Saccharomyces cerevisiae S288C: one gene and its partners. Changing the gene in region 4 together with the main gene of any one other region gives a genetic interaction. Each region holds a gene or a part of one and is shown on either strand. Other genes may lie near its edges.

Region 1 (8,102 bases), on a different chromosome or scaffold from region 4:
TAGGGGAATGGAATATATTCTCTACTCCATTTTTCAAATGTTACCTTTTGTTTGTGTGCATTGTATTATTCCATAGTCGTAATGTTGGCCTTCTTTCGTGCGCTTTCCTAAAGGTTTTTACGCTTGCTTAACTGTTAAGTTAACAAGACTTCCTCCCACACTTGTTTCTTTCATTTTTTTTTTTTTTTAGATTGGTCTTGGCCTCCAGTTCAGTTGGCTGATACACGAGAGTTTGCTGTCTCTCCTTACAATACGCTTGCTTTATAATGACTCTAGAACCACACTATAGTGCCAAGTCGGCTGCTTCAGCCAGTGCCTTTGTTGCCCGTTCTGCGACCGAAAGCTCAACAGCAAGCACAAAAGCTGCTCCTAGGAAAAAGACGTACTCGCAGTCAAATGGTATTCCCATAAGGATTGATAATCTCCCTCCGGGCAAGACTTGGGCCCAGGTAAAATATTTGATAGGCGGAATCATATACCATACCAATATTTTACAGGTGAAAATGCTGCCTCCAATGACTTCCATGGTTCCTCCTTTTATTACTTTTCAGAGTTGCATTGTCATTCTGAAGAACTCGATAGATAACGAGTCCCTGGAAAACTTACTACTTACTTTGAACACCTACCAATGGGATTATCATGATCTGTTCGTTTACCTGTTGCCGTACACTAATGATTCTCCTTCACTGCGATATCCAGAAATCAGTGATAGCAACAATGACGTCCGGAGTGCTCCCGATGAAACTAAAAGATCTATTTCTCCTCGATATGCAAGCCATGTTTCATCTGTGACACCGCAGCCACCATCCGCTTCTACCCCACCTTCTCAATTTTTCAGTTTTTCTCCTGAAGTGAGCCTTCGAAAGAATGAGAACATAACGCCATTGCCCACGCCTGTTCCCGTACCTGTTGGTGTGCCACCTCTTGCTCCCCCGCCTCATGGTCCATTTTCGACTTCGATGCTACCTATGTTGGGTGCTCCTCCGGGAACGGTACCTAATATGCAGATGCCCTATCAAACTACTCTACCTTCACCAACAGCTGCTGCTACTGCTGGTGGTCCACTTGCTTCCCCTACACACTATCCCCGTCGTCGGCATTTCTATCACCAGAACCAAAGCCAGTTTCAAAAATACATGCATAATAGCCCCAGGAATCCAGATACTGGCACAGGCCCTCGTCTTTCTCAGCAGCATCACCTCTCCTTAAGGAACAATAAGATAAATCCCTCTTATAACGAAATATCTGCCCTTTACAACTTGAACATGGCCTCAAATTCCAATAATAATGGTAATATTCCCACTACAAGTACGAATGGTGATGACCGTGCCCTCCAAGCAAAGAATGGTGGAACAATTACACCTTCACAAACTCAAATAAATCACAAAAGATTAAAGCATATCTTTAACGAGAAAAGCTTTAGAAAACAAATGACGAATAGAGGTATGTGGCAGCTGAAGATCATAAATTTCCCACCCTATATACCTATAGAATTCTTGGAGAAATTATCAGAGTCTGATTTCAATGAGTTAATGAACCAAGAGAAGTTCACAGTTATTGAAATTAAAGAGAAAGGACAATTGGAAAAATTTGGAAGGCTAAGATGGACAGTTCTAAAAGATTTTATAAAACTGAAATGCCCCAAGCTATTAAGACTACAGGAAAGACAGTTTCTACAGCAACAAAACGAAGCATCTTTACTCAATGAATCTATGGACGCTCTAAAGATATCAGAAAATGAGAACACCAACGGGAGTGCAAATAATAGCACATACACAAATGGCGGACCTCGAACATCTATCAATAATACAAGGGAATTCTATGTAGGGGTTTATGAAGATCATGAAGAAGCAACTCTACTGAGGTTTGAATTACCGGAAGATGAATTAGAGGAGTTTAATAGAAATTTGCCAACTACTTTTGCACAAAGTGGAAACGTCTCTGACTCCGAAGGTGATAGCAAGGCGAAATACTTTAAAGTTAGCACAATTGTGTATAATGCCATTGTTGGGTTCCACGATAAAGAGCTGTCTGATTTGACGTTCGAATCCTTACAAGACCAGGAATATTCACTGGGGTACAAAATTCATGTAATGGAACTGCCACCATTTGACGAGGATGAATTTGAAAATCAACGGCAGCAGTTCTAAGCATGGATTAAGAGGATATTATTATTTTATCTTACATAAATATGTACGCGAATTGAAAAAGAAAAAAATATTGTGTAGAATGTGTATTAGGCAGTTATGTATGTAGACAATTTTGTTTTGTATTTTTATCAAAGTAAAGGCTGGAAAACCGGCTGTGGTAAATTGCCATTTTGAAAAGAATTTTTGTTCTTTGTAACGTATGGCGCTGGCACAGACTCGTTGTGGTCATTATTATTTGTGTTGGAGGTGGAGGTGCCAGTGTTTAAAGTAGTGTTGCTATTTTCTTCATTCATTGGCGATTTAGAGATCCTATTAAGGATGTTATCAAAGGCAGTTAAGCTTGATTTTTTTGGATCATCTTTTTCTTGTGGTACCAATGGAATAGAAGGCATAGAGGGGTTTTCACCTATGCATGACATTTTGGGCAACGTAATGGGCACTGGTATTTTTGCATCTTGTAGTGGAATGGTGGAAATGTCCTTAATTACGAGATGAATCTCGCTCGTGGAAAAGGAATCAAATAACTTTGCCAAACTTTCATCGTTCAAGAGGTTATCGTTATGGAAAATACCAAAATTCTTGTTCTTGTTGATAATATTAAATAAATTTTTACAGTTTTCCAAAACTTCAGACACCGTGGGTGGTCCATTGCTCAACTGGTGGAAAGTAAAGGCTTGCTCGCGATCATTAAATCTAATGATCACTCTGCGATTAACATCTTTATTGGCCGATTGAGGCTTCATTGGTAGCGTAGTTAAAAGTGTAGCTCTATTCGATAGAGTGTTATTATTATTCAACATAACGTCACTTGAAACGACAGGAGGGCTTCTCTTAACCCTCTTGTTAGGTGAAGATGATGGTGGTTCTGACGCACAGGAACTAGCCAAAGGATACTGAACCATCACAATATGATGTATGATTTCACTTAAAGGGTAAAGCGTGGGGTCGAAGCCAAAATCCTTGACAATACCACCTATGACCAAATACAGTAGCCTTAGTTGTACCTGAGCCGCGGGGAAATGAGATAAGTTATGTCTTGTAGCGGCACCGAACAGTCTTTGAGACAACAAAGCCAGATTTTCAGGAGAGCACGTCTTGGCAGTGATATACTTCATTGAAGAAGAGACCAAGTTGGAGAAAAATCGTTCGATAACGAATGCAATAGACATTCGGATTGACATTTCACCCAAAATCTCCAGATTTGCGTATATATCAATGGATCCTGCAGCCTGCGAAATGTCCTGACAAGTTCTTGATCTTTGGATTTGTAGGAGTAACTTTTCCCTCAGGAAAAATGGCACGGTAGAATCTATCGGGATGTTTGTGGTAATGTTAGGTTGCTGGCTGAGTGAAGACGTAGCAAAATGTGACAGGTTTGGCCCAGTATATGGGTCCTTGAGAGCTTGTTCTGATAGGGGTACGACATTCGTAACAAGATCGTGCACTAGCATGGTGACTATATCGTTATACTTTTGTTGGGTCGAAGTAACCGATGGAGATGAGTCATTTTGGGTGCCCACGGTTGGAAAAATGGTTCCGTTATGACTCTGGTGACTCATGAGAGGCTGGAACTTGTTTGAAAACTGGAAATCTGCAGCATAATTAGAACTAGGCAGGAAGTCCGAATTGGAGCGCTGGTAGATCGACGGAGAGATCTCGTCGTCAGAAGTAGAATTTGACGAGATGCTGTTGTTGACATTGCCGCCACTGCCATTGGCTATGCTGAGAGCGTAGCGTTTTTTTGATCGTTTTCTATTCCTTCTCACTGATTGCACAGCAGCAGTGACTAACTTTTCGAATTCCTTAGAGCAGCTTACAGGGTATCCAAACTCCGTTCTTAATATTGTAGCAATCTGCTTTATGTTTTGATCTTGTTCGCTTGCCTTATATTGACTTAGTTGGAATTTGTCTATCAGCTCCAGCCTTCTGCTCGAAAACTGTTTCCATTTCTTTTCATCATTAAAATTGAGTAATTCTCTAATCTTATGAGTTGCTCCATTCCCAGAAAACTTATTTATTCTATATTGAGTGAATGTTGGAGGACCGTTCATATGTGTATAGGATATAAGCAACGAAGAAGAATAGGTAGAAAGAGAATAAAGAAGGTTTTAAAGCTATAACTAGTAGAAAAGAAAAATGTAGGAAGGGAATGCGGATGCGTTTATGCTAAGATGCGATGGGGACAATAGAAAAAGAAGAGAAAAAAAAGGAAGAGGAAGAGGTAGTGGTATAGAGAAAGAGAGAGAAAAAAAAAGGCTAGTAGTATTTGTATAGTAGGGAAAGGGCTAGATTAGAACTGAACCAAGCTGACCTGAATTGACTCAATAACACCATTCTCACCCACACAAGTACCGAAGATCCAAAAGGCAAGAATCATGGAAGAGAGCACATTGATTTATAGTAAAAAAAAAAAAAAGAGAAGACGACGGTAGAAAGATTTCAGGGAACATATGGCTTACACTTATGCTGAAGAAGTAAGAGGGAGAAGCGAAGCAAATATAATCTGTCACAATGCACAGTGCGCAAACGTAATCTGCCCACTCAGCTAATAGCTCCTGCCATGATTCTGCTGCGTAGTCTATATGAAAGGAAACGAAGGTCAGAGATGAAAAAGAGATAAAAAAGAAAAGAAACTTCTCCGAGGGGCGCAGAATTCAGGGCAAAACAACATGGAATCGATCAAAAGTCATAGTCACCCACGGAAACGTGGCGCCTATTCCGTGGCAGCTACCCGCCCGCCGCTTGTTCTCAGGGCACTTGTCCACTGCATTCCGATGTTCCGCGGAAATTAGCACGGCCTCTTATCCCCGGCTCCGCACGATTCCCTGTGTCCGTGCATAACGAATGACTCTTGTGTCGTGTTATCCGGGCTTTCTCCTTTTCCTTTCCCCGAGAAAGCAACCGACGCATACGGATATAAGCGGATCCCACCGAAAAGGAGACTCCACGGTCTTGGTGAATAACATCGCGCAGATTATTCTGCGAACCGTGGCTAATAGGAGCATGCCCGAAGAAATGATTATGGGTGCGTGATCACCAATCTGTGTGAGGCTGTCGAAGATATCTGATAATCAGTAAGCGATAAAAAAAAAATAAAAATAAAAAAATAACGACACCAGCAGGATTTGAACCAGCGCGGGCAGAGCCCAACAGATTTCAAGTCTGTCGCCTTAACCACTCGGCCATAGTGCCTAAAACAATGTAGGTTATTTAAGCAAGTATTGTAGATACTTTTCGTAATAAACTACAATGCACCCACGACTCGCGGTGTAATGATGGCATGAAATCATTGAACGAAGTTTTGCGGCTATACGGCTGAAGGACGAGACTAAAGGGACAGGAATTATTAATGCGGGGTATAATTTGAATAGTATTAACGGGCACTGCCGTTTAGCCATCAAATGCTATTGTTGGGGTATTCTCTCTACTTTTTGTTCTTGGCTTGAACCTTTTCGGCGGTTGGCAATCGTCCGTATATAAGCATCGGCTGTCCCAATCCTCTATTGCCCTTTTCCCTTGCACCTCCTTCTCAATTCTTCGTATCTTTCGCGTAAAGGTAGATCTTGATTCACCTATCTGTCGAAACACGATTAAGTGCAAACGAAACAACGTACAGTATATAACAAAGTATTTTAAATAATAAGAATGACGAAAAAGGATAAGAAAGCAAAGGGTCCTAAGATGTCCACCATCACTACAAAAAGTGGTGAGTCCTTAAAGGTTTTTGAGGATTTGCATGATTTTGAAACATATTTAAAGGGTGAGACGGAAGATCAAGAGTTCGACCATGTCCATTGCCAACTGAAGTACTATCCACCCTTTGTCCTGCATGATGCGCATGATGATCCGGAAAAGATCAAAGAGACTGCCAATTCGCACTCTAAGAAGTTTGTTCGCCATTTACACCAGCATGTTGAGAAGCACCTGCTAAAGGACATCAAAACCGCTATCAACAAGCCAGAATTGAAATTCCACGATAAGAAAAAGCAGGAATCCTTTGACCGGATTGTTTGGAATTATGGCGAAGAAACGGAGTTGAACGCCAAGAAATTCAAGGTGTCTGTCGAAGTTGTATGTAAACACGATGGCGCAATGGTAGATGTTGATTACAAGACAGAACCCTTGCAGCCACTCATCTAAGTTTGGGGAGCTGTTTTTATGAATTAACGAAATTTTATGAATTTACGAAATATAGCATGCTATATAAAATAATTTATATGCGCATGTATTTTGGTGTGCACCTTCTTACTGGAGTGTATACAAGTCTACAAATCAACACATGTGGTTTTTTTAATGTTTTGTCGTCACAACGCGACCTTAAATAAAAGAATTCCACGCTAGATTCATGCTACTATCACGAACAATACGTACCAATTAAGCTTTCTTGGTGTAATAAAAAAAGAGAAATGTACACACCACCATGATTCCGTTTACGTCTTGCTTTTCTACTTGTTTCGCTCATGGGTTCTCATCAGCTCTATTGTGTGTGCCCTCTTTGTAGATAATTAAACACATTGAAAAAAAAGAAAACGAAAAGATGGCACACGGCTTGGTCATCGAGTGAAGAAATGAAACTTCAAAAAAATTGCCGGACACTTAAACCTTAACGAGTTATACAGAACCGTATCCAGACCTGGAGCTGGGCTATAAGAAGAAGCGACAATATGGTATACTAAATTTCTGGACTCGTAGTCACTCAGTCTGTTTGTCAGTAAGTCACGTAGACCTGTATCGGCAGTAACTATGGTATTTTTTCCAGATTAATTATTATACGATGTTGTTACTTCGATAAGGTCACAACAGGTTTTCCATTGTTGAGAAACTGACTTTGATTATTATTTAGTTAGTAGGCAACTGTCATGTTGCAACCACAACAAGCAACAATCCTTTCACCATGACTATTATAAGCGGCCGGCAAAATTGCCGGGAAAACTGCCAGGGATATAATGCAACCTTCATTTGAGCACTTAAAATAGAAGATAACGTTGGTAAACCCCCCTTGATAGTGGACACATCCTACGTAGATCTCTCTACAGCCAAGTCGTATATATAGCAGCAAATTGCAACCAACCACATGGGACATAGGAATGAGTGGTTTTCTCAGACCCTGAACGTGACCGTCCATCATGAATTTCTCCACAGTTTTTCAAGCAATAATCGCGGTTTTAGGTTTAACTACAGTCACAGCTTTAGCAGAATTTGATTTCGACGTAGGCTATGAAGAGTTTGTCCGTACCAATCCTGATACGATTTTCTTAGAGAGTGATATTGGCCTGCACGTTGGATATACCGAGGGTGGCGAACGACAGATAGCAACGATACCACACAATTCCACGCTAGGGACTTCACTACGTGAGTATAGTGGCTGTGGTGGTAATGGTACAGAAACCTCCATCGCTACCCCCGCACCTACAATGAGTGAGGTACCTATCGCTACCTTCGTGAAACGTAGAAAAAGTGTACCTATCTTGCTACCGCAGGTATGTATGTGAAGAGTTGGTGAATTTTGAGATAATTGTTGGGATTCCATTTTTAATAAGGCAATAATATTAGGTATGTAGAATGTACTAGAAGTTCTCCTCGAGGATTTAGGAATCCATAAAAGGGAATCTGCAATTCTACACAATTCTATAAATATTATTATCATCATTTTATATGTTAATATTCATTGATCCTATTACATTATCAATCCTTGCGTTTCAGCTTCCACTAATTTAGATGACTATTTCTCATCATTTGCGTCATCTTCTAACACCGTATATGATAATATACTAGTAACGTAAATACTAGTTAGTAGATGATAGTTGATTTTTATTCCAACAGTATGGGAGGTATATGAACCCCTACAACCACTCATTTAGAAGTGGGGGACTGTAGTTCTTTTATGAAGTAACGAAATTTTATGAAGTAACAACAAATGTTGTTAATTGTAATCTTAATAATCTAACATTT
Region 2 (4,188 bases), on a different chromosome or scaffold from region 4:
ATTATCATTGGTGTGGCTGCCGCTGGTGAAGAAATTTCTACAAGGCCGTTCCAGCTGGTCACTGGTAGAGTGTGGAAAGGCTCTGCTTTTGGTGGCATCAAAGGTAGATCTGAAATGGGCGGTTTAATTAAAGACTATCAAAAAGGTGCCTTAAAAGTCGAAGAATTTATCACTCACAGGAGACCATTCAAAGAAATCAATCAAGCCTTTGAAGATTTGCATAACGGTGATTGCTTAAGAACCGTCTTGAAGTCTGATGAAATAAAATAGGAGTACTTAATTAAACTAAGTAAGCATGACTCAAATTTTCTGGAATACTTTGAAAATCAACGTCCTACATTCTATCAAATATCATATATATGCGCACAATTACGTTCTTCAGCAATCAGTTAGACCTGAAGAAAAAAGTAAGGGTAGAAAAAGTATATAAATATATAAAAGTGTAAAAATAAAAAATACAATGTGGTTGTGTGAAATTTATTGACCTCGCCTGTTCCTAACTACCAACGTATTGAACTATTAAAACCATTACCGAAAGCGCTATTATCACCAACATTGGAAAAATTAACGTTAGCTTTGTCACTTTTGAACTCGTTAAACGAGCTACCATTCCCATCTCCCTCCTTCATTGACTTTGTTGCCATCGATAACGGTGGTGACATAAATTCCATCAAACTAATATCACGACCTTTGTTATCGTTCCCATCGGTGCGACCAGCATTGCTACCACCATTAGTATTAACAGAAATATTGTTATTACTGGGAGTACGCGACGCTGGTCCAAATGTTGATGAATCTATGTAATGATTGGTTTCACTTGCATCGCCGCTTATTGATTTTGGACCACCACAGCGTAAGCACACTACGTTTTTAGCAAAGTTATGATACGTGCACGTGGAACACTTCCAATCTCCTGCTCTAAATGGCATGTTGGAGCCACATCCTCCCATACCGATATTGGAATTACAATTATTACTATTGTTACCATTGTTATTATTATTATTATTATTGGTATTACTATTACTATTGATACTACCATTATGATGATTGTTATTATGATTGTTATTATGATTGTTATTGTTATTACTGTTGTTCCCATTACCATTCCCATTACCGTTGATGTTGTTATTAATGTTATATCTATTATTGGTCATATTGTTAATATTATTGTTGTTATTGTTAATATTATTATTATAACGATAATTTGGGGCTATATTATTATTTCCCGAAAAATGATCCGCTATAATTATCGGCGACCCACTGTTCGATGGTGCCATGTTCAATGAATTTTGTCGCGACAATGGCGTAATTGCAGGAAAATGAGCTCTATTGTATGTTAAAGCTGCTGGCGTGTTGTTAGCAATCATGTTGAACTCAGGGGCACCATAGGGGTGATTCGCTGCAGTGTTACTAATATTGCTTGAAGATCCCGAGTTCACGCGATTGTTTAAATTATTTCTACTACTGTTAACATTATTGTTTGAGTTCGCAGTATGTATTTGACTATTTGATGGTGCCGGAAAAGAACATCTAAAACATGCAGTACGTCTTTGAAAGTTTGAAAAACCACAAGATGGGCAATTCCAGTCACCTGGTCTTGGTTTGTTTTTACTTTGAGGGAAAGGCGATAAAATTTCTTGAGCCTTATCGAGTACTCCGGTGGAAGAAGGTTGAAGCTCAAGGACATGTTCCACCACCCTTGGTTGCTTAGTGTTTGCCAGATTAGATAGGATTGATCTCCCATTCAACGCTAGTACTTCAGTTGCTTCTTCATGTGTTTGGAAGACAACAAATCCTGAGATACTATCTTGATCTTCCACATAGGGACTGTTATTTAGACTCCAGTTATTATTAACGTTAGACGTATCTTCTACGATGTTTTTGACAGTCCAAAACCCAACTGGTCTAACACCATATTGGGTAAACCATGATTCCAACTCACTTTGAGTTGTGTCGGGCGGTAAATTGTTCATGTACAAAATCTTAGATTTCTCTTGCAAAAACGCTCTAATATCGGTGTGTGAGTCATATGGTTTTGTTAAGACAGATTCCATATCTTCAGGGGAAGTACACTTTTTGTGCAATTGTATTAATATATCCGTTGTCCTTTTTAAAAGAGAGTATATCTCTGGAACAGAGCCTGCCTCTTCAGTTGGGATTGAAACTTCCAATATTCTAACTATTTCGTCCAAATCCTTCGTATTTTTGGCTGCATTAATACTAATACTTTTAGTATTACAATTGTTGTTGGAGATTGCTTTCTTTTGTCCCAAAATCTCCGGATGGTTGACACACCATCTATCGAATTCCTTCCATAAGTCAAATACTTTCGGATGTTGTAAATAAGAAGTAAGAATAAACCCATCATCTCTCGCTTGACGTGGTAAGGTAACACGGATATGCCATGTTGAATACAGGGAAACAAGAACAAAGTCGTCGTTACCAATAACGTCATGAATATCCTTGTCCAATTGCACCATTGCACTCTCCAAACTCTTTGTCGTCCCGTTTACTTCAATGCTCGGTAAAGAATTGGTCCCATAATGGCATACTAATGTTTCAGCATTCACAATTTGAAATGCTATATTCGCAATGCGACATTGATCCTTGGGGGTATCTGGCAAATGCGCAACTTGCAGCTCTAGTACCACATAGTGCATAATTTCTGTATCAAAAATCACAATAGCAATGCACAATTATCCTAGCGCTCTTCTTTAGTAATGCTATTTGCATCAAAACCAACTTATTAAACTTGTATGTGTTGAAAAATTTTTCACTTTAAACTTTTCCACTGGGCATCGGCATCGGAGAATGAAAATATATTACCAAAGTCACATTAAACAAGTACATGACATTACTTAAAGAAAACCCTTTATAATAGGCACTACTATTACTACTGTTACTAATTTACAATTATATATGTATATATGTAGATACACAAAGTTATGGAACGCCTACTCACTGTCTTCATCGTCTTCGTCATCGCTACGAGGCCCTTGATATTCATTTGTGACTCCATCTGGATGTTGTTCTAACCACATCTTTTCCCAAGCAACAATACGGGATACGTTAGATACCATATCTTCTTTCGTATCGCTTTGTAGCTCTACCACAATGTGCGGTTCGTATGATTCCACGGCATCCTGTTTGACGACACCCATAATCTCGGCATCGAGGTTTTCCTCGATCTTAGAGTCATGATAGCCTCTTGCATGCAATCTTGAATACAAGTTAGAGTTATCGCATCTCAACACCACCACCAAGTCAATCAGCCTCTCTGGGAACACATCATTGACATGCCAATCGACAATACTATTTCCCTGTCTCAAAAGAGGCTCTAGCATGTCCAGCAGTTTGTCTTCATCGACAATGTGCGATTTACGGCCCTCATCATATCCTTCGAAACAGTCGTTATCTTTGGCGAAATCCGAAATGTTATAGTATTTGTAATCCTTCAGTTTATTTTTTAAAAACTCACACGTAGACGACTTGCCACATCCTGGTGTTCCTGTAACAATGATATTCGGTCCATACCGTCTTGCTTCCATCTTTATATAACAAAGTATTTCTTTATTTTCTAATAGTTCCTTTCTACGAGTCTTGTGTATGATTTATAAAGAGTGAGCTCTTTTGTTATGAAGTATATTATTATGTGAGTATTTTTTTATAACTGCGAAAAAGCGAGGCGAACATTAATAAGATAATAGCAAAACAGGCATTTTTTAAACTAGATATGCAAAAACCACAAGGAAAAACAGGAAGAGAAGAGAATCAAAATATACTATTCCCTACATAATGGAAAAATTTGGTTTAAAAGCGCTAGTACCGCTCCTTAAGCTAGAGGACAAAGAACTTTCAAGTACATATGACCATTCCATGACCTTAGGAGCGGACTTATCGTCGATGCTATATTCGTTGGGTATTCCAAGAGATTCACAAGATCACAGAGTCCTCGATACTTTTCAATCACCGTGGGCAGAAACATCCAGAAGCGAAGTGGAGCCCCGATTTTTCACACCAGAATCATTCACCAATATTCCGGGCGTATTACAATCCACTGTAACTCCACCATGCTTCAATTCCATCCAAAATGACCAACAGCGTGTTGCCCTTTTTCAAGATGAAACTCTATTTTTCCTCTTCTATAAACACCCTGGTACAGTCATCCAGGAACTAACGTATTTGGAA
Region 3 (6,534 bases), on a different chromosome or scaffold from region 4:
AACAACGTACACAGTAACGTTTTAAGCGAAAGCATTTTAGTTGGTAATTAACTAGAAAAAGAAAGTAAACAAAAAATCAAAGGCACGTGTTATTCAAAACTTTTGGGTCCTCTCGTAAACTTTAGTTTTCTATAGTTATTTTTGACTTAGTCAATACATAATAAAAATTACTAAGAAAAGGGAGGGAGTATTTAAAACGTCTGCAAAAACATTACTTTTTCCCAAAAATCCATCCAACTTATATACATTTTTTATCATCCACGCCTTTTTATTTAAAGTGCCTTTCTCTGCAACTGCTCATATGACGATATGAGATGGCAAGTTCAAGTTTGTTACACCGCTTATTGATGTGCACACAGGTACGGAACACGCTAAAATTATAACGGCGTGCTCGAGAGAAAAACCCAACAGGGTTGGTCTGGGCATCTCCAGCAAGCCACGGTTTTAAATTGACAGTGCTTCACACTGCGGTGTTGTCTGGGGCGCCTCTGTATTTGCGGCAACGCGCCTGGTTACGGGCTTGTCTCAGGCTCGTGTGCACCGCACTGTAAACACAGGGAGGATGACTGGGTCAGGTCCCCACGGTTTATTTATAGTAAACAACAATGCGCGTATGTGTGCGTATTAATGCTATAAAAAGAAACGCGCAGTATCAAGCCATCAGATTTTTTTAATAATGGTAAATACGTATGCTGGCATCGTTCCGAAGTCGCGTCTCGGCTGCAAGGTAGGGAAACTTACTGAAAAAGGCAAAGCTCGCATGATCTGGATTTTTTGTTTTGTTTTAAGGGCGTATGCCCTTTGTTAATGAAAAGTAAATATTGATTCTTTAAAAATAAACGCAAGCCCAGTATTTATTTATATACCACAGAAGCAGGCTCCCTACATTACGTACTATTATCTTGAACTATATTACAGTACCATTCTTACCCCACATCTTAGTATACGGAGGAGATTCCTCTTTTTCTCCAATAGTCACTCACCGCATGCCATTCTCCCCTGACATTGCGTATAGCATTAACTACGCTCTTGGGAAATACTTCTTTCATCGTATATCCCATTTCCTTGAGAGTGCTTAGTACGGCTTTACCGATCATGGGGAAGCTTTCCAGTTCTATGCGGTCGGGCAGTAACTGGTGGTGTATACGTGGATAGGCTATCGTTTCCAATATAGGCATGTTATACCAGTACGTCCTCACAATTGTTTGTAAAACACTCGTAGTGATTCTTGAGCCGCCGGAAGCGCCGACCACGAGGTCTGGGATGCCTAATTCTGACAGCACAATAGTGGGTGCAGTGGATGATAGGGGTCTTTTCCCGGGCTCGGGAAAGTTGTATATGGAGGGTGCCAATTCAAAACTATTAGATTTGTTGAATTGAGCGAAATCGTCCATTTCATTATTGAAGATCACCCCGGTTTTTGGGTCGTGTACTAAGGAACCGAACAACAAGTTGATGGTGGTTGTCAAGGAAACAGCATTCCCATGTGAATCTACTATACTGAAGTGGGCAGTTCCATGCGGGTTATTGATATCGTATGCCGGATCATAAAGCGTCCAGTTTTCTAAAGTTTTAAAATTTCCGTCTTGAGAGTTTCTTTTGATTGATTTCACTGCTTTCAAAGCCCATTCTGGATCCAATACCTCTTCTATATGCTTAGGTAATGCTTCGCCTTCAAAATCGCCTAACCTGCTTCTTGCGCTTGCCATCCATTTCATGCTTTCAAGCAAATGATAGGTAGTTTCTTTTTCATAATCGCCCCCTTCTTGATTCTGGAAATTATCCATTATCCTTAACGCCGCAAGTAGTGCAGCCCCGGAACTTGAGCCGCTACTTGTTAATACGGTCATATCGTTATCAGGGATGAAATTGGCGCCCTTCCTAATTTTCATGGACAGTGGTTTAGTAACATGAACATCATACGATGAAACATCCTGCAAGTTCATTATTCCATTGTATTTTGCGACAGTATCAATCATGGATTTTGCAATCCAGTGATCGGGGTCATAAAATGGGGCCACGGAACCATTTTTAGCCAGTTCCATTAGCATGTTAGATAGTGCCGGCCTCTTGATCCAATCGCCTTCTTTCAAAACACCGTCATGGGTAGAATTCAATACAAACGACCAATCTTCCTTCAATGTCAGGAAAACATCCTCATAAAGTTCTAAAGTGGCACCGAGTGCTTCGCCTATTTGCCAACCCACGCTTCCCAGCTTTGCGACTGGTTCAATTAGATCACGCCAATCAACTTGGCCGCTACCTCTTTCTTTAAAGAGGCGATAGAGACCCATCAATTCACCTGGAACACCGACAGCAAGACCCCCTATTTTTGAGCATAGAGAGCAGTTTTCGAACATGAACTTATGTGAATCCATGGGTGCTTTTTCTCTAAAATCAATGGATAGATGATCTTCATCGTCTTTGCCAGAAAAAACTACGTAGCCACCACCTCCAATCCCACTATTAAAAAAATTCACCATACCCTTACAAAGAGCTTGTGTTACTGCAGCGTCTGCAGCGTTAGAACCGGGAAATTTCAGGAGTACCTCATTTATAGTCAAATTACTACAGACTTCTAAATCTGAACTTATAGCACCATGCAAACCGACTTTTAGAAGTTGCCTATCAGGCGTTAAACTAGGACGGCGAGGTAAAGGGTCAATATCGATGTTATGGTGATCCTTATCGCCGCCATCATCATCGTCGTCTTTTTTCAAATATTCTGCAATAATGTCAACATCTCGATTGGCAGACCCTCGAAGGAGATTATTTATTCTCTGCAAAGTCTCCTGAGAGGCGAATGATACCATTTTTGACGGCATTCCGGACACTAACACACCCAGTGTTAACAGAGTGAATATATGCAGTATAAAACAGGTATTTAAAGTCTTGGGGACTTTTCTATTACACAACAGCATAACTGTAAGTCTAGTACGCTACTTTTTGTCTTGTCTTTTTGTGTGCCTGACAACGCCCCACTTGAATCTGCGTTAGCTTTTTATTCTATTATTTAAGATAACTGTGCAACAGGAAGTCACGATCGAACTTTACGGAAGAATTATAATATTGAGAAGTGCTAGTACACACAGGCGCACACACACATATATATATGTATCTATATACGTGTATGTAGATTTGGAAGTCGAATAGATAAATGCCGTTATGTTCCCTCAGAGAAAATTGATAAGCGGGCAAAAGGCGGCACTAAGACGTTCGAAGGGGCGGATCTTTTCTTTTGATCAACAACAGGCACAGCCGCTGAGTAATATAGTTATGATTTTTCTAATCTCATGTAGGTAATAAAATCTTAAAAGTTATTTTTATTTTCACTCTTTTATATGTGAATAGAGACACTTGTATAGAGATAATAAACGGTTCAAACTCTTTTCACTTTCATATGTTCCACACAGTACCTTATCATTGAACACTAGATTTCCGCAAGTGTCAAGGTACATAGGCGGGTAAGCGTTAAGGATAACAGAAAATATTCTTGCTATACTGAAGATATAATATGAGCTCCTAGTGTAGGCGATGAAGGTGCTCAAGTAACGGAGAGGAAAGAGATAGGCAATGACGAGATACTATTGTGAATACTGTCATTCGTATTTGACCCATGACACGTTGAGCGTTCGTAAATCGCACTTGGTCGGTAAGAATCACCTTCGTATAACAGCTGACTATTATAGGAACAAAGCAAGAGACATTATTAATAAACATAATCATAAAAGACGCCACATTGGAAAAAGAGGCAGGAAAGAAAGAGAAAACAGTAGTCAAAATGAGACGCTAAAAGTTACATGCCTTTCAAATAAGGAGAAAAGACACATCATGCATGTGAAGAAAATGAACCAAAAAGAACTGGCACAAACCTCAATAGATACCTTGAAATTGTTATACGATGGCTCACCAGGATATTCCAAAGTATTTGTGGATGCTAACAGGTTTGATATAGGAGATTTGGTTAAAGCCAGCAAATTACCCCAAAGAGCCAATGAAAAATCTGCACACCATTCCTTCAAGCAAACTTCAAGATCCAGAGATGAGACGTGCGAGAGCAATCCATTTCCTAGGTTGAATAACCCAAAGAAGCTAGAACCCCCAAAGATATTATCACAATGGAGTAACACCATTCCAAAAACTTCTATATTTTACAGTGTAGATATACTGCAAACCACGATCAAGGAGTCCAAGAAGCGGATGCATTCCGACGGCATACGGAAACCGTCGAGTGCCAACGGATATAAAAGGAGGCGGTATGGAAATTAACGCTATCAGATTAGATTATTAAATATTATATGTAGACTATATTTTGCCAAAAAAAACAATAGAGATATCAACAACGAATGAAAATGGTATGATGAGAATAAAAAAAAAGGAAATAAAAAAAGGAAAATTAAAAAATTGAGATTAGTTGAATTGAAAAAGGAAAAAAAATGTTTGGTATGCGATAATTAATTGAATGTGCACGATCGTTACTATCATGAGAATTAAAATTTAAAATGTCCAACTTTCGGGCGTGAAGAGCGGTGCCATCTATTATATCTATTTTTATTTCATGCTTTTTCAGCAAGTGCTTGCTTTTCTTCATCGTTGGACTGTAGTTTCTTATCATTACTGCTGCCTGAACGGAGAGATATGAATATCATGCCAATCAACCCAAGTAGTAAAACTCCAACCACTACAATAATAAAAGATATTATGAAAACAGCGAGTATGTTTTCCAGTGGTTCATTATCGAGGTTAAAATTTGAGAGATCCGGGGTCCCAGAAACGAGTGTGTGCACATCTCCGCTTGCTTTCTCATCCGAATTTAAAATCTTTGTCAATAATTTAAAGATCTCATCCCCTATGCTATTCTTGACGCTATGATGATCACCACACATGGATTTGGAGCTTAGTAAGGCAATGTTCGATTGCTCATCGACAAAATCACCTTCGACCATTTTCTGTTTTTATATTTTTATCGTACGTAGTCTATAATGCAAAAAGAATAATTTGTTACTTGTGAGAGAGAAAGCGTACGTGTGCGATTGTGAGAATATGTAGATTATTACCACGATAGAGCAAAGAAGAAGGCTCTCCAAAAAGAATTAGTTATCTCACACTACCAACCGAAAGACTTCCTTAATATATATAAATTTAACACGGTCCTTATACGATTTCTCTTTTATATATTACTACTCTCAGGTATTTATTACTTGGTAACCAATTAGTAATACAGAAGGGAACTACGGAGTTTCTCTACAGACTTAACCCTTTTTTCCTTCTCCCAAAAAAATTTCCTTTTTTTTTCCTTTTTGTTTTTGTTTCTGATCTCGCAAAACTCATCTCTTTACTCTTTTCTGTTAAATCGGCCATTCTTGAATGGACGGGTATCTTTTTAAGCCGCAATACGCGTGCGCACTTTTCACTGGTTTCTCCAGACAGCCCCAAAAGAAAGCGCGCGGTGTTCTATTGTTCCTCATTTTTTGCAGTCCGTTTTTCGGAAATCACAAGTAGCTAGCCCTCCATTCGACCCGAACGATGCGGCCACTGCCCTGGATTATGGCTGCAAAGCCCGACGAGTTTCGAGTCAGCAGGCCCCGCGGCTATAGCTCGAGGATGTGTTCTCGTTTTGTCGCCCTTGAGTAAAAGAAAGCGACAAGGTGTGCAATTGTTATGAGTAGGATTCAGTTATAATTATCACTTAGCATTTGTTCTAAACATGAACACACAACGAATGCCTGTAAACACGCTTGCCGCGCTAGACATGCAAACGATCCTCAAAAAAAAAAAAACGCTCGTATGAAGACCTAATTTACGTATTTTTTTTTTTTTTGTTTTTCGTTTACGCGTTAATTGATCGATTATGAGCTTTTGGGGAAAAGTAATTGCCGCAGCGGCTGTCGTACCGGAAGAGTGTTGTTTTTCATTACCAAAAAGGGATAATAGTGGTTCCTTTATGTGACATTGGTAAGCTGATTGGGCATAATTACTTGCCTGATGACGAATAACGCGAGAACTGCCCATATAGAATCTGACGACGTAAGGAGAAGAAAAAGCGGGAAACGGATTTCTCGTTCTAGGCCTCGGCGGCTCTTAAAATTGTAAAATGAAAATGAGAATAAAATTAAACTATACACAGCTGATCAGCGTTCTAATGAAAAAAAAATGCATTGGAAGGAAAAGCCGAAATACTTCATTTTCTGGGCATTGACGTTCTGTTGCCTCTTGTGCATACACACTTGTTTTTATTGAAATCGAGCTTATTGTAAGAGAACTTGCGCTTATCTTCAAATGCCGCTTTCCTCGAAAAAGCATTTAAACATCATTCAAGATTATTAGTCTATCAAGCTTGTCCAGACTGCTTGTTATTATGTAAAACAAGTATGTTGGTATTGTATTTGATTGCCGATTCTCATATCGCCATACACGAACCAATTATGCATCATAAAAAAAGCGTAGTTCTTTTACCCGACCAACCAACTTCTTCCTTTGTCCTCAATATCAAAGAAAAAAAAAAAAACCCACTGCTCAGATGTTATAAGGAAG
Region 4 (9,185 bases):
CAGAACTTCTATATTGCCAACAACAACTAGTTGCCTTCTGGGTCTTGTCATGGCGACGTTCAGTCTTCGTTCTTCCTTAAGGAAACCAACTTCAAATTTTTCATTGCTACGAACTAAACTCAATATGATAACATCTTTTTCACGGCCCTGGAACCCATCTACAGTTGATATTTCAATATCAGTTAATTTTAATTCATCATGGATCAATTTTTTCAGATGAGAAACTTGTGCATTGTATGGAGAAATAACACCTATAGAGTTCTCCGGGACGTTGAATGACCTTAAATTCTCAATGTGTTCTTTTACAATGGCAATTTCGCCCTCATTATACTTAGATCCAAGGATAGTAGCTTCATCTGCAGTCTCTTGAAATTCATCACCTTGCGTATCATACCAAATTAAAGGAATTTTTGTATCGTCATCATCCTCAGATGGCGTAGCATCGACGGTCGGTAGGTCTATCAAAAGTCTGTTCGCGACCGTTGCATCGGCCAATAGTTTCCCATTATACATTGAGTGCGATGGAAATTCCATAATTTTTTGATTCATCCTGTATTGAACGTTAAGAAATTTTACCATATCCCTTTTCGGGAATATTTTGATTATTCTGTCAAATAGTGTGGTTTCCAAATTGTGAATGACATTTTTGTCGTCTTCTGTTTTGATTGTGGGTGGCAATTGTTTATTGTCACCAGCAAGGACTAGTTTGTGGAACTGATTTTGATGTGCAATTAGTGGGATCCAGCATTGTGGTTCCATGGCCTGTGAGACTTCATCGATGATCAAGGTATCGAAAAGCTGGAAATTTGGATCATCTCTATAAAGGGAGCATAGTTCTCTCGATGATGAACCGTGTAAAGTGGTGACGACTATTCTCGATTGTATTATTAAGTCCTTAATGGTTTTGAACTCTCTTTTCTTTAAATCTTTGCGCAGCAGTTTAATTTCGTTCCAGTTTTCTTTACGTTGCTTATAGTTTTTTAGTTTTTTATTCTCCTGAATTAATTTGTCAATCTCCTGGGAAATGTCCTTCACAATAGTATTCTTTTTACTAAGTATATCAAGAGAGTGTCTTTTATTAGAGTCTAATAGCCTAGCAGGATGACCGATTCTTAATAATAAATTATTCGGCACAAGAGGCGTTAGCCTCTCCAGAATCGTATCCACAGAAATATTGGAAGGCCCACAAATTAAGATTCTCTCCTCAGGATTTTTAATTAGCAATTGCTGGATCAATTCAATTAATGTGAATGTTTTACCCGTACCAGGAGGACCATGTATAATGGTCAAGTCATTGTTAATGGCAAAATTAATGGCAGTTTTCTGGGAGTCATTCAGATTCGGGTTTAAAAAAGATTTAATGTTTTGAAAGCTGTTTGTATTGGGGATGAAGGGGCGTTCGTTTACCAAGTATTGTATAATTTTGTCTTGTATGGGTGAACTAATTTCAGACAGTTTTCTCATTGTGGATTCCATTCTATTATACGTGACGACATTGGTAGTCTTTAAAATGTAAAGTTTGCTATAAGAATAAAATGTGGTAGCAATAACATCTTGAGATTCTTCTAGAGCTATGGTGATTTGAGTATCACTCATTTTGTAGACAACGCCTGAGCATTCCGCTTGCTCGCCATTGGAGTCTTCAGACACCTTTTTGACTTTGGGCTTAGTCTTGGTATTTACTTTGGTTTTTGCAGGGCGTACCAAAACAATATCACCAACCTTAATATCACCCCTTTGAATTTTGTCGTTAACCGCCAAGTTAGGTCCCAGTTCCATATATAATTTGCCAATGAGACCGGATCTTATGTTTTCTAGATGTATGTTGTTTATTGCCAAGCCATTTTGCACCAATTGTTGGATAGATAGCGTTGTTAATAGCCTAGAAGTTGTTTGAATGTCTTGTTCACGTTCATGCTTGATGCTTGATAAAAACTTAGAAGCCAATTCTTTGTTCATTTCCCTCTACTCTTTTTTCTATATTTCTCAAGAGACAACTTTACATCAGCCTTCATATTTTTGAAATATATGTAACGTACAAGATTTTCTTAGCGTAAGGATATGCAGGCGCACATTTGTGTATATATGACAGTAAGAATGTTTAATTATAATATTTGCCAGTTATATAAACCTGTGAAAAAAATAATAGAATATGGTGCGTAATATATAGAGGTAAAGGGTACTACATCACATTCAAATTGCCGAATCTGTCCTTGTAACCAGGTACGTCCCATTTACCCTTCTTGACCATCTCTTCTACCTTAGCATCAATTTCAGGTTTGATCTTTGTCAGGTCGTCAACAGTTAATTCATCGAAAGGTCTTGCAGATTGAATATTATCTAAGGTGCTTTGCAAATCCTTTAACTCCTTGGAAACTAAGGATTCTGTCTCCTTGGCGTTGGTCATTGCGTGCTTTTCAAAAGACTCAATCACTTGTAATTGTTTGGAGGCATCGATTTTGACCGGCTTATATTGCTTAACGTATGATTCTATCTTGTCAATGACTGAAGTGTTTTTCAACACAGATCTATAATGACTGAAATCTACTTCGGTGGGTTGACTTTGCAGCTCTAGTAATTGTCTACGTGCCTCATCGTTTCTCTTTTTAAAACTCGATAATTGAGTGGCAGTCGACCCTGTTATACGTAGAGAAGAGATGACTTTTGCCCAGTCAAGTTTGTTAGCAGCGGATTTGGCCAAAGACATAGTCGAACAAAAATATAATTAGGTGATTCTGCAATTAAGTGCACGAAAAATTTCTTTTAAATCCTAAGATTGTTCTTTTGCGTTACGTGTCAATATGAATATATAAACTTATATAGAAAAGTATTGTACTAGTAGAAATATGTTTTACACCTACGCTAAGCAGCAAGTGGTAATTGGTGTATCTTTTACTTTTTTGGGGGCATCAAGACAAATATCCAATCAAATCGAAGAGAAAATAATTCTTGTAACCCGCTCATTAGTCACGTGGTCATCACGTGAGCATAATATATCACGTGATATACACCCATACCTCGTTTATGGGATTGAGTCATCGGATATGTCATTATAAACGATATTTCTCCGCGGCAATGAGGTGGCGAATATTGGAGTAAAAATGAAAACATCCACCAGGTGCTTGATGATATACTTGACTTCGGCGGCAATTTAAAGCTTTCTAAGCAGCAATTAGTAAGTAACCATTACAATAACGATAAATACGACACTGGTCCAACTAACTCATTGATAGGATAATTGCAGTGATCTTAACGAGTTTAATGGTGACCGACCAAGGCAGTAGGCATTCGATACAATCTAAGCAACCAGCCTACGTTAATAAACAACCGCAAAAAAGGCAGCAGAGATCTTCTGTCGCATGCCTTTCTTGTAGGAAACGTCATATAAAATGTCCTGGTGGTAACCCTTGCCAAAAATGTGTTACGAGCAATGCCATATGTGAGTACTTGGAGCCGTCAAAAAAAATTGTTGTGTCGACAAAGTATCTGCAACAACTGCAAAAAGACTTGAATGATAAAACTGAAGAGAATAACCGCCTGAAAGCTTTGCTCTTGGAGAGACCAGTGAGTGTACGTGGTAAGGATAACAGCGATGATGACGAGAGGCATATAAACAATGCACCCTCAAGTGACACATTGGAAGTATCCAGCGCTCCGGCGGCTCCTATATTTGACCTCATGTCCAATAGTAACACTGCGTCCGATAACGATAACGACGATGACAACAGCAACAGAATCACAAATAATAGGAGCTATGATCATAGTTTGGAAAAATACTACAAAAAGGCCATCAGCATCTTTAAACAACCAGCTAATGCTAATGGCGAAAATGGCAACGGTGCCAATGGTCATGAGGATGATGATGAAGATGATGAAGAAATATCAACAAATTTTGCTCAAAGAAGTGGTAGGCTCATAGAATCTCACAATGGATTCCATTATTTTGTTGGATCTTCTTCAATGACATTATTTGGGTTAGAAATTCAATCTTTGGTTACAAAGTATATTTCGGTCAAGAATTTTCGACCTTTGCCAATAAACACCAAAAACAAGATTTTAAATTCAAACCTGAACCCGGCTATAAGTTCTTTTATCAATTCAAACAACTATCTTTTCTCGTCCTATAATTTTTTGAACCCTATATCGACTATTGTCAACTTAAACTCAATCAACGATAATTTATCTCCATTGATGTTTAAGATAATTTTGAAAAGCGATACGGATGGTAGTAGTGGCCAGGAAGAGGTAATACAGTTTCAGTTGCCTTCGTATAATTACACAAAACTATTAATTGACTGCTTTATAAATTATAACGATGGTTGTTTTTACTTTTTCAACGAAGGCCTGGTTAAATGTGGCATTAACAAATTGTACTTGGAAAATAAATGGCTATACTATGATAATACCAAAAAAGCTTTGGACAATGAGAATGATCCAATTTTACAAGCTGTTTGGTTTTGCAAAATTTTGTTAATTTTAGCAGTAGGTGAAATGTATCTGGGTTCCATCAATAATGAAATGTTGAAGAATTATTCTAATCAGCCAAAATTGCCCGGTTCAAAATTTTTTCAAATGGGTTCTAAAATTTTTAATTGTTTGTTCTCAAGTGAAAGATTAGAAAATGTGACTAAGAAAGGCGGTATTGAAGTCCTGTTGTTATACGCGTTCTTCTTACAGGTGGCTGATTACACTTTAGCCTCTTATTTTTACTTCGGTCAAGCCCTAAGGACGTGCTTAATTCTAGGCTTACATGTTGATTCTCAAAGCGACACTCTATCCAGGTATGAAATCGAGCATCATAGGAGACTTTGGTGGACAGTTTACATGTTTGAACGAATGCTTAGCTCAAAAGCTGGGTTACCATTAAGTTTCACTGATTATACAATCTCTACAGCACTGCCAGCGGATATTGATGATGAAACTATCGAAGAGAAAAATAGTCACTATGTTTTCAGAAAGGCAGAATTGATTTCTAACTGCGTTACTATTGTGAAAATCAATGCACAAATTTTGAGCAAATTATATCAAAGGCAACCTGAGACAAACATCATAATTACTTTGAAAGTTGTCATCAAGCAGTTGTTGGAATGGAGGAACAATTTGTCCGATTCCTTACAGGTGGATTTTACGCAAAAGGATGAAGATTTCAAAATATCGAGATTGTCAACCAATATGTTTACGGAATATTTTCAAGGAATAAACTTGGCCGTGAGACCTTTATTATTTCATTTTGCATCCATTCAATTGAAAAGGTTCAAAACGAGCAATACTTTCGTCAACTTACAAAACTATTCTGCCACAATATCTTCCTTATTAACATGTTCTTTGCATGCTTCTGTGAATACTATTAGGTCTCTGTGGAGTTTATTACAGAATAGTATGCTTGCTATGTTTAGTTATATGGACAGAGAGTATCTTTTTACTTCTTCTTGTACTTTATTACTATTCAACACTGCTTTTGGTATTCATGAACAAACACTATATCATTTGGATCATTCTCTGGAAATTTTCACACAAATGAGAAACTTAGGCAACATTCCAGCAGGCTTAAGAAGAGCACAATTATTAACATTAATGGCAAATTTGGATTTCCACGGCATAATGAATGACTTGATTACTAAATATAACGATATTTTGAAATTTGATTCTATGAATTGTGAAAACGATAACATAGTAGAAGATAGCAATGAACCCAAAAGAGAAACCGAAAAGTGTAAACCTCACAAAGATGGCGATCGCATTGACCCTTCAATTATAGACTGTGATAAATCAAACACCAATACAAATATGATCAAGAACGAATCTATATCGAACATTGTTAGCATACTTCCGGAAGGCGCGAAACCAACGCTGACTGATTATAGTAATGGTAATAATGATGTTAATGATATTAACGTCAATAACTCGGAACCTTCTACTTTTTTTGATATCATAACTGCGAGCTTGGAAAATTCATACCAAACCACGCTAACTGAAAAGGGCTCTCAGGTGATGGAAAAAAACATGGATCAGTTGGATTCCGTTCATAATCTAAATGATGACGATTTACAACAATTGTTGGAGGATTTAGGCAATATTGATCATTCCGATGAAAAACTTTGGAAGGAAATCACTGATCAAGCAATGTGGCTGGGAAATACTATGGATCCAACTGCAGCTGCTGGTAGTGAAATTGACTTTACTGATTATTTAGGACCATAACACCATTACAAAGACAAAGAAGAAAATACTGATTTCTTTGTTTTCTTATGCATATATTATACATTTCGCACATTATATAGAAAAGTGGACATTTAATTCTTCAAATCTTATTTAAAATATCTATCACAAGACAGCTCATTTACGTAGCCTCTTGACAACATTGTCGCTATCACCTTCTGTCCATAATATTAGCCTTTTTTGTGATTTGACAAGCTCGTTGTAGCCTAATAGTAGTTTTTCAATTCCGTTTTGTTCTTGGGCTAACCTCAAAGTAGTATTTAATGTACCTCTGTTTTCGTTCCGTAAAGTACCAATGTTGTTCAGTATATCGTCCTGTGGTAGTCTAGATTTGATGTTATTGTTCAAAACCTCGAAAAACGACACAATACCGTTTCTGCTAATTAAATTCAAACCACCATCATCTGCTACCCTTTGGACTTTGTAAAAAATAAAATAGATTAGTTCGCGTAATCTTTCTTTCAAGTATGGCATATTGATCAAGTTTAACAACCATTCAAATACACCTTTCTTCTCTAACATCTTGTAATCTTCATCCGTTTTAATTCCCTTACAAATGGTTGTTAAAACCCAACTCAATTCTCCATAGTATATTTCCATATCAATTTCTTTCTTATTGTCATCTTGTTGTCTCTTATTGTAGGACATCATCACATCAGATACCATAGGGATGTCCCAACTACGTATGGTAGAATTTGATAATACCCAGCGGTATGCCTTCTCATGTAAGGGCGCAGTTGGACTTCCCAATAGATCAACAATTCTAGAGATAGAAAACCAAATTAACGGATTGATAGGATCTTGATTTTGTTGTCTCTGGTATAAAATCCTTTTAATCAACACTTGGTAAATGCTATTATATTTGATTAAATCGCTATCAGATTCTTTTCTTTCATTATCCTTGCTAGTTATTTGCTTTTCAAGATTCATCTGGGCAGTTTTCTTCTCCAAAGAAGAAGCTAAATTTGATAAATGTTCGTAACTTATATTGGCAACGGTATGACAATCGCTTAATGAGCAAATAATAAACTGAAATATTTTGCAATCAAGGAAATTTTCAAATTCATATCTGTATGTTACATTGCCCTCGTCATCTTTGACCATTTTTACCAGCTCTTTGTTATGGATTATTAATAGCAGTAAAAATAATGGATCGTACATATCAACACCAGATCGTTCGGTATCATCGTAGTACTTTTTGACTAGGTCACACCTTGTAGTAGCATCATAATTGTTTGTATTAGAATCGGTATATAATTCAGGGACTTGAGGCCTTTCCAATACGTATCTGTCAATGGACTTTTTGATCATGTTTTTTTGTAGTGTTAGTATCAACCCCTCCCTTTCTTTGGTAATCAGCCTCGTGTCTCCAATGGCTTCCAAGATTTCTTCCTCTTCGTCTTTGATAAATTCCCAAGAAAAAATCATGTTTGTCCATGAAGTAGCGGTGTGAGATTCGATAGTTTCTAGAATTTTCAGTATCAACTTGTCGTTACTGGAAATAGTACCGGAGTAAAAAGTCAATAATTTCTCTTGAACTATTGGCGTCGAATTTACGACCGGGTCGATGCTGAATAAAGAGAATAATATCATTGTGCTTAAGAACTTTCGATACGATGAATCTTCATCATTGTCTTTAATCATTATTGATGAGTAACTGTCATTGCTTAATAAAAGTTGAACCATTCTTTGCGATTGAATTGACTTTTTGCTCACACAAAAAATTAATACAATAACGTATTCAAGAACCTTAATTTGTTTGATCCACTCACTGCCTAGAATAGCCTCTAATTGAGAATTAATGATTTTGACATTCAACTTATTTGGTACCTCTTCAAGTTTTAAGAGCTCAGCCATCGCTCTTAGTAACTCAAAAAAAGAATTGGAGATAACTTTTCTTTCTGAAAGGTACTTTGTAAGGTAAAGAAGAGTTTTATGTAACCATGTTTCTACCCCTGGATAAGTAAAATTATTGTGTGCAGCTATGTATCTTACTGTAGCAGCATGATATTTATGGTCGCTCTGTGATAAAACACATTTCAAAATTTCATTTCGTTTCGTTTCGTCATAGAAATCAATATAAGTGGTAATCATATTTAATATTTCGTCAAAAATCTCACTTTTCGAGGTAGTGTAAGTACTTTTCGCAATTTCATTACCATACTTGGAAATGGTTTCATGCGCAAATGCGCTAAAATCTTTATCCTGCATGTGCTTGAACAAAGCAGCCGTTGTTACAATACTTAGTAAAGGTGAATCCTTGATCCTCCAGATACTTGGTATGAAAGATGGGAAAGAAAAATGTTCCCATCTGTAAAAAGCTTTCAGTACTAGATAATTCAAATCACTAGACACAAAACTATTTATCAGAGAAGTAGTTTCTGAAAGGGATAGCTTACCCATAGGATCAGATGAAGCATCAACACAAACTTTGTTTTCTTCAAAAAATTTAGCCAAAGAGATGTTTACTTCCTTAATTGAAGCAGGATCTTCATTTGCAGCTTTGTTCAGTATATTCTTTACAAGGGATATTTTTATAGTTTTTCCTTCGTTGAATAATTTTTGGAGAATGTTTCTTGTGGACTCTAGTTTGGTGCTACACATGAGTAGCGAAGTTAAAGCTGAAGTACTTAAATACTCACTAACACTTGTTAAGAAAGCATTTACATCTTCTTTCTGATACAACTCATTATAGTTGGCATACTCTTCGACATTTTCACCACTAAACACGACTTTTTGAATTATTTCTCGGAATTCCACTAATTGATGGCCTGTTTCAAAGCATACTGCACCGATTAAATTGCACATGAACCTTGATTTTTTCATGAGTAGAGCATTTCTTTTTTCAATGGCCAGTTTTGGTAAAGCGAAATTTATATACCTTTCCAAAACTTTGATAATTGGGAATTCTGTGTCTGTTACCATGTAGCTAGCAATCTTGCCAGTTAACTCACAGGCAGTTGCTT

The links.
Region 1: mutations in PUT3 (region 4) and VHR1 together harm fitness more than expected from each alone (negative genetic interaction), as found in Saccharomyces cerevisiae (one large-scale study listed by BioGRID).
Region 2: mutations in PUT3 (region 4) and NRP1 together harm fitness more than expected from each alone (negative genetic interaction), as found in Saccharomyces cerevisiae (one large-scale study listed by BioGRID).
Region 3: mutations in PUT3 (region 4) and YLR297W together harm fitness less than expected from each alone (positive genetic interaction), as found in Saccharomyces cerevisiae (one large-scale study listed by BioGRID).

Annotation. Positions count from the first base shown.
Region 1 is NC_001141.2:246,090-254,191, reverse strand, and holds VHR1 (Vhr1p), read right to left. Parts: upstream 4,202-8,102; coding exon 2,279-4,201; downstream 1-2,278. Other genes in the region: YIL055C (uncharacterized protein), read left to right, coding at 267-2,150; RGI2 (Rgi2p), read left to right, coding at 5,796-6,290; YIL059C (uncharacterized protein), read left to right, coding at 7,277-7,642; YIL060W (uncharacterized protein), read right to left, coding at 7,366-7,800. UniProt on the Saccharomyces cerevisiae protein: Transcription factor that binds to the VHRE consensus sequence in promoters of VHT1 and BIO5, and regulates their biotin-dependent expression.
Region 2 is NC_001136.10:160,495-164,682, forward strand, and holds NRP1 (Nrp1p), read right to left. Parts: upstream 2,661-4,188; coding exon 501-2,660; downstream 1-500. Other genes in the region: SFA1 (bifunctional alcohol dehydrogenase/S-(hydroxymethyl)glutathione dehydrogenase), read left to right, coding at 1-270; FAP7 (nucleoside-triphosphatase), read right to left, coding at 2,955-3,548; CCR4-NOT core subunit CDC36, read left to right, coding at 3,796-4,188. UniProt on the Saccharomyces cerevisiae protein: May play a role in chromatin organization.
Region 3 is NC_001144.5:722,456-728,989, reverse strand, and holds YLR297W (uncharacterized protein), read right to left. Parts: upstream 4,947-6,534; coding exon 4,557-4,946; downstream 1-4,556. Other genes in the region: EXG1 (glucan 1,3-beta-glucosidase), read right to left, coding at 1-35; ECM38 (gamma-glutamyltransferase), read right to left, coding at 939-2,921; YHC1 (Yhc1p), read left to right, coding at 3,574-4,269; YLR296W (uncharacterized protein), read right to left, coding at 5,686-6,012.
Region 4 is NC_001143.9:405,283-414,467, forward strand, and holds PUT3 (Put3p), read left to right. Parts: upstream 1-3,261; coding exon 3,262-6,201; downstream 6,202-9,185. Other genes in the region: ATP-dependent 5'-3' DNA helicase HCS1, read right to left, coding at 1-1,959; ATP7 (F1F0 ATP synthase subunit d), read right to left, coding at 2,183-2,707; URB1 (Urb1p), read right to left, coding at 6,337-9,185.